Linked DNA regions of Astyanax mexicanus. The protein of the gene in region 2 interacts with the protein of the main gene of each other region in a pairwise test. Links are inferred from orthologs where the notes say so. Each region holds a gene or a part of one and is shown on either strand. Other genes may lie near its edges.

Region 1 (8,445 bases), on a different chromosome or scaffold from region 2:
TTGTATTAGAAAAATAACATTATTATATTATTATTATTATTATTATTATTAGTATAAATATTTGACCTGTATCAATATATGAACTGTATCATGTTCATCCTTAAATATACTCAGCATTATAAAACAGCACAGCAACTTTTATTCTAATAAAGGGAACTAATATGACAGAAATAGCAGAACATGCTTCCTGTGTGATTCCATGCAAATCTAATGTGCCACAACCACAACTAGGACATATGCTAAGTCCGATATTACAGGCGCAATAAAACCAGCCCTGGTTTCACGTGAACTGGCACCGTTTTCAAATCACACTGCCTGCATCACATTCTGTATAACACAGCCCATCATAGCATGAATACTCAAATTTAGATACGTACCTTCCGGGCGATGGGTTCCTGGCCATCGGTCAGACCGTACCAGCTCACTAGCTTATTCCAGCCCTCAGTGGGCACGAGGATGTAGTCCAACTCGTCGATAAGATGCTCTTTAATGGCAAGTACATCGCCATCTAAGAACAAAATGCAAAGATAAGCACTGATCAATTGTGTGGCTAAGAGCTCATGTTTTATAGTATATGGACGATGTTTCCTAAAACACCACCATCATTCTGGATCAATAAATAATAAAGCTTATTTATGATCGCTCATTTTTAAGGTAACACTTTCAACAAAAAAAAAATTGGTTTACTAATATGAAACAGTTAATAACCTTTAAGGAGACCCGAGTTGTCCACCGGTCCGGGGTAGACATTCTGATCCCCCATCTGATACTTGTCCCAGCTGTCAAAGCCCACATATTTCTTCCACTGCTTGAACCAGTGACTGTCTATTAAGTACCTGAGATAAACCAGGGATAGGAATGGTTACAATTAGGTAAACCAATTATAGCATTTGCAATCATGTTCACACACCAGACAGATAGACAGTTAACTAAATAGCTATGCAGACAGACAGTCAGTTGTACAAATAGAAAAACAGCTAGAGAGGGAGCAAGATCTGTATTTGGCTAGAAGGCTAGATCCAGATTTATCTAGACAGACACTTATATGGAGACATATACAGCTCTGGAAATAATTATAAGACCACTTCAGTTTCTGAATCAGTTTCTCTGAGTTTGCTATTTATAGGTTAATGTTTGAGTAAAATGAACATTGTTGTTTCATTCTATAAACTACGAACAATATTTCTCCCAAATTCCAAATAAAAATATTGTCATTCAGAGCATTTATTTGCAGAAAATGAGAAAGATGCCGAACTTTCAGACCTCACATCATGCAAATAACACAAATATTTATATTCCTAGAGTTTTTTTATGCATATTTGCTTGTTCTCCTCCACCAGTCTTACACATTGCTTTTGGATAACTTTAAGTGTCTCTTATTTTTTTTCCAGCGCTTTATAGCTAAGTAGTCCAATAACTAGATAAAGACCTAGCATCTAAGTAGATAAACAGCAAAACAGACCTAGATAGCTGAGTATATAGACAACTAGACAACAAACAATGCAGGCAGGTAGATAGACAGCTGGACAAAAAGCTATATATATATATATATATATATATATATATATATATATAGGTAGACAGCAAAATCTAGATATCGTGATACAGAGATAGATAAATAAGCACTGCATAAAAAAGTAAATACACACCCAGACAAAGAGCTAGACAGCTAGATGGAGGGCTAGAGAGCTAGGCAGATACACAATCTGAGCATGGGATTCCAGAGCCAATCAGCCTAAACGCATTTCAAATGCTTAGCTGCAGAGGAAATTCAGCAGACACAATTTATCAATTTGACGTCAAAAAGACGTTGGACTCTAACATCAGGCTTCAAAGACTTCAAAAACCAAACATTTTACTGGTTAGAAATCAAATTTACATATCTGTCAAAAACCTACATTGGATTGACATAAAGCTTCAACATCAGACAGATGTTTTGTTCAAAACGAAAATCTGTTTAATGATTAAATTCTGGTTGGAAATCACATATCCAACAAAAACATCTTAACAGTAGTGGCTGAATTCTGATTACTGATCACCACTGCAATGTCTTTCCACCTTTCCACCTTAGTATTTCACTTTTTGTGGATATTAACATTATGAGTGTTATATTTTTTTGTTTTTTGTTGTTTCTTTGTCTAAATCCTAAATATAGGTATGTTGTGTCAATTTGATAGACAGCAGGTTTACATTACGTCCCAACATTAGACAGACGTTAAATTAAGTTTCCATACCAGCTGGCCCCAAATTACACGTTTTTTTTGCTTTAATGACTTAAATCTGAATGTTGGTATGATATGTCAATATGATGTTGGTACCTGACGTTTTAAAGACGTTGGACTTTGGTCAAAAACCAATGATAGGCAAATGCTGAATAACATCAACGTAAATCTATCTTAGAACCTCACGTTTTGTAGACAGTACCATGATTACATGTTGTTCATGTGTTACAACAAAATGGTGGTATGTTATGTTGACGTGACATTGGCATGTGAAGTTTGGAAGACGTTTAATTTAGGTAACTTTGACAAGTACTTAACACCACAACACCAATACATCCTCTAGGTTAATATACTCTAGCAATGTCAAATGACTTTGGCATTAGACGTTGCCCTGCATTTTGGTCGCCCGACGTCTCGACCTACATTTAACCAGATAGCTAACACAACGTCTTCAGATGTTTGGGGGCAGCTGGGAAGCTAAATGACAGGTGCTCCTCGCGTCTCGTCTCGTCTCCGCCCTGAATGGCCCCGTTAGCGAGTGCCAGCTAACTCCAGACCCACAGAGGAGCGCGTTGGGTCGGCCGGCTCTCAGCCCCCGGAACCGGGCAGGCTGTGGAGGTGCTGGGGGTCTGCGGTTTTGCTGAATAACCCTCACACAGCCCGCTGTCGGTCTCCGCTTTCCAGCTAACTGCTAACGGCTAACGGTGACTAGCTGTCAACACGGCTCCTCCGCGCTGCTGCCCGTTCCGCTCAGCGGCGGCTAGGCGCGGCAGCGGCAGGGCCGGAGGCGCGGAAGGTCGGCGGTCAGCTCTCACCACGTCTCCCCTCTCCGGAGCTGCGTCTTGAGCAGCGCTGTGATCTCTCCTCTCTGAGTGTCCAGATCAGCCGCTCCTCCCTCAGCCATCTTTCCTTGGGCATCGCCCGCTGCATTGTGGGATAGTAAAGTGGGGGGAGCGACTGTGACGCCAGGCTGAGGTTTAGCCAATCAGAGGTTAGCGTAGGTTTTGACGAACAGGAGAGTTCAGCCAATCAAAGGATTAAGACATGCAGAGACGACTGACCTATGGAAATGTTGATCCAATCATTTGCGTGAATTCACACGGGTTTAGCCAATCAGCGGATTCAGGAATGAGAGACTGATGGAAATGTTGAACCAATCATCTGCGTGTATTCTTCTTGACAGACAGATGCGTTTGACACAAGCAGGCTCTGGACACAAGATATGAATTTAGCCAATCAGAGGCTTGAGCAGTAACGGACTGATGGAAATGGTTAACCAATTGGTTGCGTTTAAATAAAAAACTTTTATTTTTATGACGGTAATGTAAATTTGTAAATTAAATGTAGTTATTTATTAATTCATTCATACCCCTGTATTTATTTGTTTGCTTATTTATGTTTGTTCTTTTTTATTTGCTTCTTTGTTTAATTATTTGTTGTTTGTTTGACAGAGACAGGGTTCACTAATTATCAAAAATCTGACAAATAAAAGATGTAACCAATCACCTGCGTGCATCCTTCTAGAGAGACATACATTTAGCCAATCAGTGGCTTAAACTGCCTGGCCAGCACAGAGCTTACAACAGCAAACCACAGGCACTAAACCCTAAACCATATTATTTCCATTAATAGCTGACATGTGTTCCCTTTGAAGTTCCTTTGCTTCTGCAGCGCCCTCTCAGGTTCAACTGAGCTAAAGGTGAGGATGATGTGCCTGTGCACTTTGGTATGCAGACACATCACAATATACAATCAGTTAATCAATAATACAGCCCCCTCCTGCTGACGTCCAATCATCTGCGTCTCACTGCTATCAGAGCTACTTTGCTCAGCCCAATCAGCTCTCCCTTCTGCCCTAACCTAAACCCATACATCACCCAGTGCCCCTCCGAAACTCAGTGGGACACAAGGACGAGGCTCCGTAAGGCGTGGTGAGGTTTCAAAACCCCCACATCTGACAGGTGGCAGGTCCAGACAACTGCTGTCACTCTGAACTGCGGCATGTGACCTGATCTCTTGAAGATTCTCCTTATGAAGATAAATGGGAACATGAGTAGTCTTCTCACAACAGACACTGCATTCAGTTTATAGAACTGCATCTTCGTTCATGCCACAGAAACTCACCTTTGACTATTACAGGTAGACAGAACTTACCTGCACAGGGTAAATCCTGGGGTAAAATGTTAGAGGTATATGGCACTTCAAATAGAGATTTTCAGAGGCACACATTAAAAAAGGTGGCAGAGAATTACTGGCAAGATGGCAGCACAAACGAACAAAGAAACCCACAAAGTATTTTTCTTGGTAAAAAATTTACAATAACTACTAGTTATATTAACATAGTTTAATGTTAAAGTTTCAATACTTTGTAGCTATATTCTTCATAAAAAAAATAAAAAAAACAAATAAAAAAAACAATAAGCAGTTTGTCTTAGTTTCTAGCTACCTTTCCCGTAACACCTTAAATGGTGCAACAGACTGCAGTGGCTGCAGCATTTAAGGTGGATCGGAAAAACGAAATAAAAGCTAAAAAAATATAATTTCAGCTTCCCATCACAGAGGAATTGGGCAATGGGCAATAACAATTAGTTGTTGCCCCACCTGCCCCCTTCCTGAAGACCTACAATGACCTAAAATTACCTAGTTAACCTTGTTCTAAAGGGATGGGTTACACTTAAAATCAATGGGTAGGGGTACAAAAGAGAAATGGGACTGAGCCAAATTTAAAAGCTTCTGTGCTTGGCAAGTTAAAAAAAAACTGTTCGGAATTTGTAAAACCACACTAAATTATTATTTCCTGTAGGTTTATGAATATTTAGGGTTCAAGCACCGAAGGTGCGTAGAACCCTATTGTTTTTGCTAAGATTTTTCTTCTTATTATTATTAGGGTTCAAGCACCGAAGGTGCGTAGAACCCTATTGTTTTTGCTAAGATTTTTCTTATTATTATTATTATTATTCTTTTTCTCCTGTAAAAACAGTTGTGCAGCCTAAACCGTAAGTCATAGAGAAATGAAACTTTGTAGGTAGATGTAGGATCAGTGCATCTCGGTGGACAACAAAAATGGCACCGATTGGTCAAGTGGTGGCGCTATAAACAAGGAAATTCATTTTTCACAATTTTCTCAATAACTCAAAAACCATAAGACCTACATTCAAAATTCTTTTTTTGATGGATTCCTTGGGTCAATACCAACAACTTTCCAATTTGGACCATGCACTTCCGTCTATATAGATTTTGTGCTAATTTGCATAATATGCAAAACCTACTTTTGCAAACTAGTCCTAGGAATTTTGACCAATCCTGGCATGTTTGGTATCAAAACACTCGTGAGAGCATGCGCTTCAATATTCATTAAGAAAAAGTTGAAATATGTAAACAATATGGCCGCCATATGCAAATTAGTCCTTCCGGATATATGCCCCATTCACTTCAAGAGGTAAATTTGGAGCACTGTTTCTCAGCAACCGTGCAACCTAGCAAGTTGAAACTTTGCATGCAGAATCTATCATACAGCCTCTAAAGGATGTTCAAAGGGCAACTTAATCAATCAACATGGCTGAACACCATCAGCCAATCAGCATTCAGCAGAAATTTTGGCAGGCTGAATGTTGCCCAATCTGGATGATATTTGGCAGTTATGTTCAGGTGGAGACACTGTAGTGACCTGCAAAGTGCTGAAACAATCCGCCCACTGGGGGGCGCTGTTCCAAAAAAACGAGTATATGTCAATCATGCTGTACTATTTTGACATCTAATTGTTTTTGCCATATTTAGTACAGTGGCTCTGACAAATTTCTCAATACAACTATGTTTAAAAAGTGCTTTGTTCATTCATAATTGCTAATTGTTTGAAAATAGCTATATTGAAACTACTCTCTGGATATTTGGCCTATCACCTCCATTTCAGTCTTGCTGCACACTGTAGAGTCTCTAGGTAAATGTTCATTAAAAACATTTGTGAAAATTTCACATACAATACTCTCCAGGCATCAAGCAATCTGTGCGTCCTTGGAATTTCTAACCTAAATTGCTGTAACTCTGCAGTATTTGCTGTAATCTCACAATGTTAAAGACCTCTGTACAATATCACTCTGATGAAGCGCCATTTAATACAGAACTAGATTAAGAATAACTTGACATTACATGTCATATCAGAACATTCACTCCTTTGTGCCTCTTCTCAACATTAATAACAGGTGAAAGACTTTTGATCATTTTAAATGTGACAGAATGTCTCCAATTGTGTTAGACCTTCTTACACATCACCATCCTATGCTCTAGTAGGCACCATTGTGCTAGTTGGTGCTTGAACCCGATGATTGCCGCTTGCGGCTATATTTATTATTATTCTTTTTCTCCTGAAAAAACAGTTGTGCAGCCTAAACCGTAAGTCATAGAGAAATGAAACTTGGTAGGTAGATGTAGGATCAGTGCATCTCGGTGCACAACAAAAATGGCACTGATTGGTCAAGTGGTGGCGCTATAAACAAGGAAATTCATTTTTCACAATTTTCTCAATAACTCAAAAACCATAAGACCTACATTCAAAATTATTTTTTGCTGGATTCCTTGGGTCAATACCAACAACTTTCCAATTTGGACCATGCACTTCCGTCTATATAGATTTTTTGCTAATTTGCATAATATGCAAAACCTACTTTTGCAAACTAGTCCTAGGAATTTTGACCAATCCTGGCATGTTTGGTATCAAAACACTCGTGAGAGCATGCGCTTCAATATTCATTAAGAAAAAGTTGAAATATGTAAACAATATGGCCGCCATATGCAAATTAGTCCTTCCGGATATATGCCCCATTCACTTCAAGAGGTAAATTTGGAGCACTGTTTCTCAGCAACCGTGCAACCTAGCAAGTTGAAACTTTGCATGCAGAATCTATCATACAGCCTCTAAAGGATGTTCAAAGGGCAACTTAATCAATCAACATGGCTGAACACCATCAGCCAATCAGCATTCAGCAGACATTTTGGCAGGCTGAATGTTGCCCAATCTGGATGATATTTGGCAGTTATGTTCAGGTGGAGACACTGTAGTGACCTGCAAAGTGCTGAAACAATCCGCCCACTGGGGGGCGCTGTTCCAAAAAAACGAGTATATGTCAATCATGCTGTACTATTTTGACATCTAATTGTTTTTGCCATATTTAGTACAGTGGCTCTGACAAATTTCTCAATACAACTATGTTTAAAAAGTGCTTTGTTCATTCATAATTGCTAATTGTTTGAAAATAGCTATATTGAAACTACTCTCTGGATATTTGGCCTATCACCTCCATTTCAGTCTTGCTGCACACTGTAGAGTCTCTAGGTAAATGTTCATTAAAAACATTTGTGAAAATTTCACATACAATACTCTCCAGGCATCAAGCAATCTGTGCGTCCTTGGAATTTCTAACCTAAATTGCTGTAACTCTGCAGTATTTGCTGTAATCTCACAATGTTAAAGACCTCTGTACAATATCACTCTGATGAAGCGCCATTTAATACAGAACTAGATTAAGAATAACTTGACATTACATGTCATATCAGAACATTCACTCCTTTGTGCCTCTGCTCAACATTAATAACAGGTGAAAGACTTTTGATCATTTCTAAATGTGACAGAATGTCTCCAATTGTGTTAGACCTTCTTACACATCACCATCCTATGCTCTAGTAGGCACCATTGTGCTAGTTGGTGCTTGATGAAGCGCCATTTAATTCAGAACTAGATTTATAATAACTTCGTAATTACATGTCATATCAGAACATTCACTCCTTTGTGTTAATTTAAACTTGTTTGGTCAAACATTTCAGCTTGTTCTGCAAAGGTTCAAAGGTCAATCTGAATACCACTTTGTGAACATTCTGGTTGAAGCCACCTGATCAATACCAATAACATGTAGACACCTTTTGACTAGTTCTAACTCACTTAATGAATATCCTACAAAGTTCACTAGATTTACATGTGAATTTAAGCACTGATCAGGTTGAAAGGCCTCTGCTCAACATTAATAACAGGTGAAAAACTTGATAATTTCTAAATGTGACAGGGCATCTCCAATCATATTAGACCTTCTTACACATCACCATTCAATGCTCCAGTAGGCACCATTGTGCAAGTTGGTGCTTGAACCCGATGATTGCCGCTTGCGGCTATATTTTTTGCTTGTTTTTACTTTTTGTATAAAGCTTAAGTATCCATATTTTTCTCACTATAAGG
Region 2 (8,015 bases):
CTCAATTTGATCCAACCATTTGTAACATTTTAGAAATCGGCAAATAATCACATGAAGGGTGTGCCATATTGTATTGTTCAAAACTATCACAGACATTTCTAAAACAATAAAACAATAAACTTATTGAAACCAGTCTATTTTGTATTTATTTATTAGGGGTGGGAATCGTTTACTATCTCACGATTCGATTCGATTCCGATTTTGGGGGCCACGATTCGATTCAAAATCGATTTTTGATTTAAAACGATTTGAATTATAAAAATTTCTGCTTCTGGCTTATGAATCTTATTGAAAAAAAAAACCCTCCATAATATACACTGGTCCTGGAGCAGGTAATGTGTTACAAAAACAATAAAATGTGCAGGAATGTGGGTCCTCAGTGACAGAGAAATCACTGGGATATCACAATGACGTTAATGAACAATAAATAAATAATAAATAACACTGCTTTATTACCAGGCTACTAGCGGTGGTGTGTAGGTGACGCTGCTGGGCTGATGTGATGATAGCAGTGGAGCGCTAAAGTTCAGGAGCAGCTGCTGATTAACTAGTTAATTTAAGGTCGTTGTATTTCTTCAGAAAGGGGGCAGGAGGTGGAGAAATTAATTCATATGGTCCATTCCTTAATTCCTCTGTGATGAGGAGCTGAAATTAGCTCTGATTAGCTTATTGTTATTTTTCCGTTCCGCCTTAAATGCTGCAGCCCGCTGCCACCTGTAGCGTTATTTAAGGTGGAACTGGAAAGTTAGCTAGTTAGCTAGCTAACAGTTACTGAAACTAACTACTAGCGATCTTTTTTATGCTTGTTATGAAGCATTCTGCCATAAAACATTGAAACTACACGTTAATCTAATGTAATATAGTGCTTGTTCTGCCATCTTACCGGTGATTCTCAAACACCTACGCTCTGTGTGTGTCTGGAAGATCTCCGTTTGAAAGGACAAGCGCTATCCCCAGGGTTGCCAGGTCCAACAAAAATACCCAGCCCAAAATCAGTCTAAAACCCGCCCCTCAGAATCGATTTTGGGACATTTTAAATCGATTCTGAATCGTAGTAAATGAGAATCAAGATTCTTATGTGAATCGATTTTTTGGCACACCTCTATTATTTATCTATTTTCTGTATTTATTACTGTGTTATTTGCTGTACACATTAGTTTTGTTGAATATTGTTGTTCGATTACTTTTTTAAATATTTTTAATTTTGCCAGATTACTATTTTACACATATTATTCGTTACTGTTTACAAAATAGACTGTTTATATATTTTTTTAGTTTCTACTGTATTTATGAAATTAATTCATACTACATAAACTTTTATATTTTGTTTTGCAGTAGAATATTCTTAAAATTAATTTCAAATGTTGGGCTCAGAGGGGTCCAGCAGGCTAAGGTGCTGCCACTGTGATCAGGAGATTGCCAGTTCGAATCCTGTTCATGTAGCTTGTCATCGGCTACCTATTGGCCTTGCTCTCTCTGGGTGTGTAGATGATGCTCTTTCTCCTTATTACTCCAAAGGGTGATCAATCGGCACAAGGCAGCACAATAGTTATCGCAAAAATACCCTCAAACACTGTGATAATATTTTATTGCAATATAGGCAACCCCTATCTCACACAGTAAATGACACAGTCTTGCCTTTAAAAGAAATTGTTGGTAGCTTCCCAGCCTGCATGCATCTGTGGGGCTTATATGGGTGGAATGTGGGCTACGTGGTGAGTTTGAAGTGTTACTGGGACCCAGGTGGGCTTCCCAAATGGCCCACCTTTTCAAATAGTAAAATACGTTATTTACATTCTGAAAATGTGTGGGCTTTGTAATCTCCTACAGGACATTTGGAGAAGCTGCCCTTTTTTCTCTACACTTCCACATCAGTAACAGAAATCAACCCAAATTCTGCAGGTTTAAAAACAGACATAAAAACTAGACAAACATAACGAAACCAAGGATTCGGAGGACAAAGTGCCAAATGTATAATGGTTATTCATTATATTTGTAAAGTTGCATATTTACTTTTTTTAAATACTTTCTATTACAGCTACAATTAGCAATTATAGTAACGTTTATTATCAAACATGAAACCTTATTATGTAATGCCTGAATATAAATCTTCAAGATTTAGGTGCGTAATATCAGGCAGAAAATTTACAAACATTTTGGCCTGTTAAGGGGTTAAGCTACTTACACAGGCCTCACACGGAGTTGCTAACTGAGTAACTAATTAGCTAGCTAACCTACCTAGTTTATTTAGCTAGTTAACTCTAGCTGTATGGCTAAAACTACTTACTTCAGGCAAAACAGCGGTTTAACCCTAACTTTTAACTAAATTTACGCGGTAAAAACTTTTAGTTTGAGCTGTAGTTAGCTAACCTAGGCTAGCTAGCTAACTTACCGCAATGTTAGCTAGTTAGTTAGCGCACTGAAGCCTGACTTGCTTCATCTTGAAAACAGCTTAGCTAGTTAGCTAGCTAATGTTTCCAGAAAAGAAACTGAAATACTTGAAGGCATTTCGCGTTAGCTAATAAATAATTACGCTAGTTTAATAGTTAGCTAGCGAATTCAAAACGCAACAGAATTAGAAACACTAGTTAGCTAACTAGGTTAACTAACTATATTCGCCTTTTAGCTAGTTATTTTTCCTGTAACGTTCCAGTCCACCTTAAATGACCCGTCAGTGCGTATAAGTGAACTATCATATATCTGAACCAAACTGATAAAATATTTAAGGTGGACCGGATAATTCCAACACCAATACACATGTTTTATAGCCACAACAAATTAGCCAGCAGACTCCACATCGTTTCTATCAGCTGGTAGAAGCAGAGACAGGTCAAAAACGACCCGAATCGCACACGGTGCATTTTCCAGCTTTTCTCCGTGTAAAGTTTAAATCTTTAAAAGATAAGCTCGCCTGAAGTCTGAAGCTCAGCTCTGAATCTGAATCTCCCTCCTTTCCAGCTCCGAGCTGCTGCTGCTCTTCCTCTATGCTCAGCCGGAGCGGATAATCCCCTACAGCGGGCCGAGTCCGCCACCTAACGAGCGGGACGCGGCGTTCACTCTGAGGACAAAAATAATGGGACACCGCCTCATTTAATTTAAGCGTAAAATAGTTTATCCTGCTTCTTTAGGAGTAACTGTCTCTGCTGTTCATATAAGACTTTCTACTAGATTCTGGAGCATTTCGATCAAATCAAATTGATTTATAAAGCGCTTTTTAGAACTGATGTCACAGAGCAGCTTTACATAAATGTGAACGCAGAACACAGAACCAGACAACATTGAGCATACAATACAGAACCCTTAGTGAGTGACAATAACAGGAGTGAGTGACAATAACAGGAGTGAGCGCCAGCAACAAGAGTGAGCGCCAGCAACAAGAGTGAGCGCCAGTAACAGGAGTGAGTAGAGTCCTCTCGTTTAGTGATTTATTAGTGTAAATATTGGTTAATGTTAAACACCCTGTCCAATTCTGTTTGGTTAATAAATTGCGATGATAATAAATTTGATCAGTTTCAGGGTTGGGTCTTCTTGCTAAAATAAATTAACTTTGCATATTTTAGAAAAATAGAATGTGCGTTCATATATAGTATTTGTTTGTCAACAATATTAATTATTTAAACATGCAGTCAACAATTACTTTAGAATAAACACTTTCTTAAAAGAAAATGAAAGGAATTAGTGGACATGCTTTTTAAATGTTACATGAATTTTGGTAAAAGGACTGAGAAAAAAATGTAAACATCTTTGTAAAAAATTGCTACATGCTACATTTAAGTGCTTTTATAACTTGATTAATCTTAAATCTGTTTTAATTCTTTTCTTATCTTTTTTATAATAATGATTATTTTTTCATAATCTCCCTTTTTTTTCAGTATTAATATTATTATTACTTATGAGGTTTGTGTCTAGTACTTAGTAAACTGTATGGCTCTTTTTTGTTGAAGGGCGGGATTTTATTCATAAACGGGCTCCTTGATTGGCGTTAAGGGAAATCCCATTCATACATTCCTCAGGCCCCGCCCCCTGTGAGCTTGAAAGGTATCTAGTTTATGATTTGTACATTACTGTATTATTATATTTTTGTAATGTTTTTAAGCACCAACATGATTCTGTAACATTTGTAATGTATAAATAAATATGTAAAAATATATATATAAAAAAACTAAAAATAGGCCCCTCCCTTTCCTCCGCGGCCGAACTGTAGTAGTGGGTGACGCGGATGTGGAGGACGTGTCTGCTTCCTGCTCTGCTGAGTTCTGCTGTTCTGTCTGTTCTCTCACTTCTTTCACTTCTCTCTGAGTATCACTGATCCTTTTATCATCTAAAGATGAGCCCCCCGCAAACAGACACCTCCACCCTCTGTCTGTTCGACGTGGACGGGACCCTGACAGCAGCTCGGCAGGTAAGATCACTCACTTTAACTGTAGTGTGTTCATCTGCGGAGGAGCTGTATTGGCGGTGGGTAACCCAGCTCCAGAGAGTAAAAATCCAACCCAGGGTTTTGTACCAACTGCCCGTGCTGCTCAGCTGAAGCTGAGCTTAATCATCAGAGCTGCCCACACAGTTGGTACAAAACCATGGATTGGATTTTTATGTTCTGGACCTGGGTTACCCACCTCTAGTGTATATGAATGCTTTAGCTACTGTAGTAACTTAGTATCAGGTTTTGAATACAGATGGGTGAGTCTCAACTGTCACCATGTGTGCACACTATATAGTGCACTTCCCTGCTGAAAACAAACAGCAGGCTCAGATCTCAAGCTGATTGAGCTGATTCAACCTTTTAGAATAAGACTAGGATGGGATATGATGATTTAACTGGTCTATGATCAGCCTTTCCAAAGTATACAACCACCATGACCAGCATGGCCAACTAAGACCACTTGGTAAACCAGCATTATCAAATAAGTGTGATCAAATGCAACATGTAACTACTATACTGACCAAAAGCTAGTTAACCAGCTAGCTTCCCAATTATAGTGGGTGTTTTCACCAGACTGACCAGCAGTTCAAAAACCTTATCAATCAAAGACCAACTTAGACCTTCCAAAACCAGCTACCAGCAGAAGCTGGTCTTCAGACTAAAATAGACTGTAAATAGACTGTAATGAGCCATTCCACCAAATGGGTGCCATTTCTGTCCCCAGTAAACTACATTTATAAATGTGCACACAGAATAACAAAATACAGGTGCTGGTCAACGAATTAGAATAATTTGAAATAGTGCAATCATGAAATTCTTTGAATGCATTTTTTGTGCAGAAAGCAAATCAGGTGTTCACCGCACCTGTCCTACTCGTTAGACTAATCACAGAACTCGTTACCTGGAAAACAATTTGCTCAGCTGAGCTTTCCAAAAGGCCCATTTAGGCCATTTAACTGTGACACTGTTGTTTTATTGAATTAGAATAATGGAGAAAGCGTTTCATTGAATTAGAATAAATGCTCGAATTTTTGTTTTCTCCGAAGAGTGTTCACTGTGCAGTATAAAGTCAGGGTTGAGTAGAATTTCTAAGTTGTAAAATCAATCATGGGTAAGCAGCGCGACCTCTCAACCGGAATAGTGGCTCAAATTCAAGCCCTTCGCCAACAAGGCTTGACCCAAACTAAAACTGCTGAGCAGCTCGGCATCAGCCAGTCTTCCGTCTGCAAAGCTCTCAAGAAAAACTGCAGCAAGCGCACCAACTGTTCCGGCGTCCGAAAAACTTCTGCTCGCGACAACAAGCAGCTGAGAAAGATCACAGTCAGCAACCGGTTCAAGTCATTGACCTAATTGCAAAGTAAGATGTAATAAAAACATTAACAAAAAACTACTTAGAATATTGAAAAAATAGCATTTGTTACCTGTCCCCACTTTCTAACTATAATTATTAAAATCCTTCGGAGATGTATTTTTTTTTGCATTGTTGTGTGACTCCAAATCCAATCTATACTTTATTTTTTTTTAATATATAATAAATCCACAATATTGAATATACACGTTTTATTTGTGTCGCTGGGTTTCACTCAGTCCTGTTACTGTACCACATTACCCTGATCATCTAAAACATCAGGAACATTCTACAACAGGAAGTCACATCTACAACAGGAAGTGACATCAGCTGGTTCTTCTGAAGACTATGGGAAGACCAAAATTAAGATTATTTGTTTTTCTGTATATTTAATTTTATTGTACTTAAATGTGCCCAGTGCCCTTATCTGCCATTTAGCTCTTTTTCATGTTTTTGCTAATTCTATGCTAAAAACTCATTCCTGTTACTTTAACAGGAGCGAGTTCCAGTAACAGGAATGAGTGCATTAACAGGAGTTATTATTTATTTTATTATTTGAACATGCAGTCAAACATTTCTTTAAAATAAATACTTTCTTGAGAGAAAACATAAGGAATAAGTGGACTTGTTTTTAAACAACAAGCGAATGGCACCCATTCGCTGGAATGGCCCTAATGCTGTTAAACTAGTGTAGCAGTATGTGGTTTTGAACGCAGCCCAAAGTGAGTCTCAGTTGTCCCTCTCTTGACTACATAGTGCACCAAGTAGAGCATGTTTCTGTCTAAACCTGCGTTTGGGAAAAGAACATGATTAATCATTGACACCAGATGCAGTCAGTCAGCTGAGATATTTAGGAGGATGGTGAGAGTCATGACCTTTGTGATCTGTTTAGTCAACCAAGAAAACCAGCAGAAAAATAGTTTAACCTGGAGACACAGTGATTTATACACAAGCTGCTGTAACTGCTGATGCCATCAGAAGTGGCACTCAAGTATTAGTGTTGTTAAGAATTAACAACATTTTGGGATATGGACCACGCCTCAATTTCCTGAGCTCCTCCCCCTAGTCCTACCTCCGAGGTGCTCCTCACTTTGTGACTTTTGACCTTGCACCCACCTCCACTCCATCATCACCCTCATCTTCATCAGCTAGCTGTGGGGGGACCTGGCCTGAGAACCTTCTCAAGCTGTTCTGAACTGTACCCCAAGCAACATAATCACAGTAACACATGTTTCAGTTCTCTGAAGCTCATTTAATATCTAACATAAAATATCGGATGATTGTACTCTCTCAGTTAAATCTCTCAGTTAAATCAGTTAAAACCCCGATTATAGTATCAGTTCTGTGAAAAGAGATTTACTGCATTGGTTTAGGATGAGTTTATATCATTATTCATATATATATATTCATTGTTAAGTGAACTGGGTGCATTCACATGAGACCTGCTGTTCCAGATTGAGGACTGGGATTGTGGTCTGGCTTGTTTAACTGGTTAGTAAAAGTATCCCAGTGATCCACCTTTCGCACTGGTCAGACTCCCTACAGCTGTCAGTCTGGAATGTGGGCGTGTCTGCTGACAGGAGCTGGAAGCAGTGTAACTTGTTATTCAGTCAATATCAATAAAGCATGCCTTTTGTGTTAGCAGTATAGTTGTTTAAATTTCATGTAAACTATATTTAACATTTTGTTCAAGATGTACACAGAATGAACACATTATTTCAAATATAGAGAAATGTTAACTTTCACTTTAAATCAATTAATAAATCTTTCTGTGGTTTAAGGGTGATCCTCATTTTCAGTGCAGCCAAGCAATTGCAATTATGCTGAAAATGTATTCTGTGTAGTCTGAAGTCTTATACATGTAAAATACTGTTACCTATTATTAAGTGATTAAAGTTCTTCACATAGAATTCATTGTTGCATTTTATTTTTTCCCCTCTGTTTTAGAAAGTGACTCCACAGATGCAGCAGTTCTTAACCAAACTGAGACAGAGAGTACGAGTCGGGGTGGTCGGAGGCTCAGACTTGAGCAAGATCAAAGAACAGCTGGGTGAAGACGGTGAGCAATAGTAGTTTTTTTTTTTTTAGCTGTTTTTTTTTTTTTTTTCAGAGCAGAAAGTACAGCTCCATACACATCAAAATTCATCCAACTGCTTCTATGTTTATATTATTAAATTATTATTAATAGAGAATTCATATTTATCATTTGGAATCAACTTCAGATAATCTGATATGAAACAACAA

Evidence for each region.
Region 1: the proteins of mad1l1 (region 2) and ubiquitin carboxyl-terminal hydrolase 15 interact in binary tests that used the Homo sapiens proteins (3 or more experiments, as listed by UniProt). The two-hybrid records come from large-scale screens. The link is inferred for Astyanax mexicanus from reciprocal best matches to the Homo sapiens genes MAD1L1 and USP15.

Annotation. Positions count from the first base shown.
Region 1 is NC_064409.1:16,810,178-16,818,622, reverse strand, and holds the start of ubiquitin carboxyl-terminal hydrolase 15, read right to left. Parts: upstream 3,167-8,445; 5' UTR 3,127-3,166; coding exon 3,038-3,126; intron 837-3,037; coding exon 709-836; intron 509-708; coding exon 378-508; intron 1-377. UniProt on the Homo sapiens protein: Hydrolase that removes conjugated ubiquitin from target proteins and regulates various pathways such as the TGF-beta receptor signaling, NF-kappa-B and RNF41/NRDP1-PRKN pathways.
Region 2 is NC_064428.1:4,219,039-4,227,053, reverse strand, and holds the start of mad1l1 (mitotic spindle assembly checkpoint protein MAD1), read right to left. Parts: upstream 3,060-8,015; 5' UTR 2,912-3,059; intron 1-2,911. Other genes in the region: pmm2 (phosphomannomutase 2), read left to right, coding at 4,328-4,402, 7,719-7,830. UniProt on the Homo sapiens protein: Component of the spindle-assembly checkpoint that prevents the onset of anaphase until all chromosomes are properly aligned at the metaphase plate.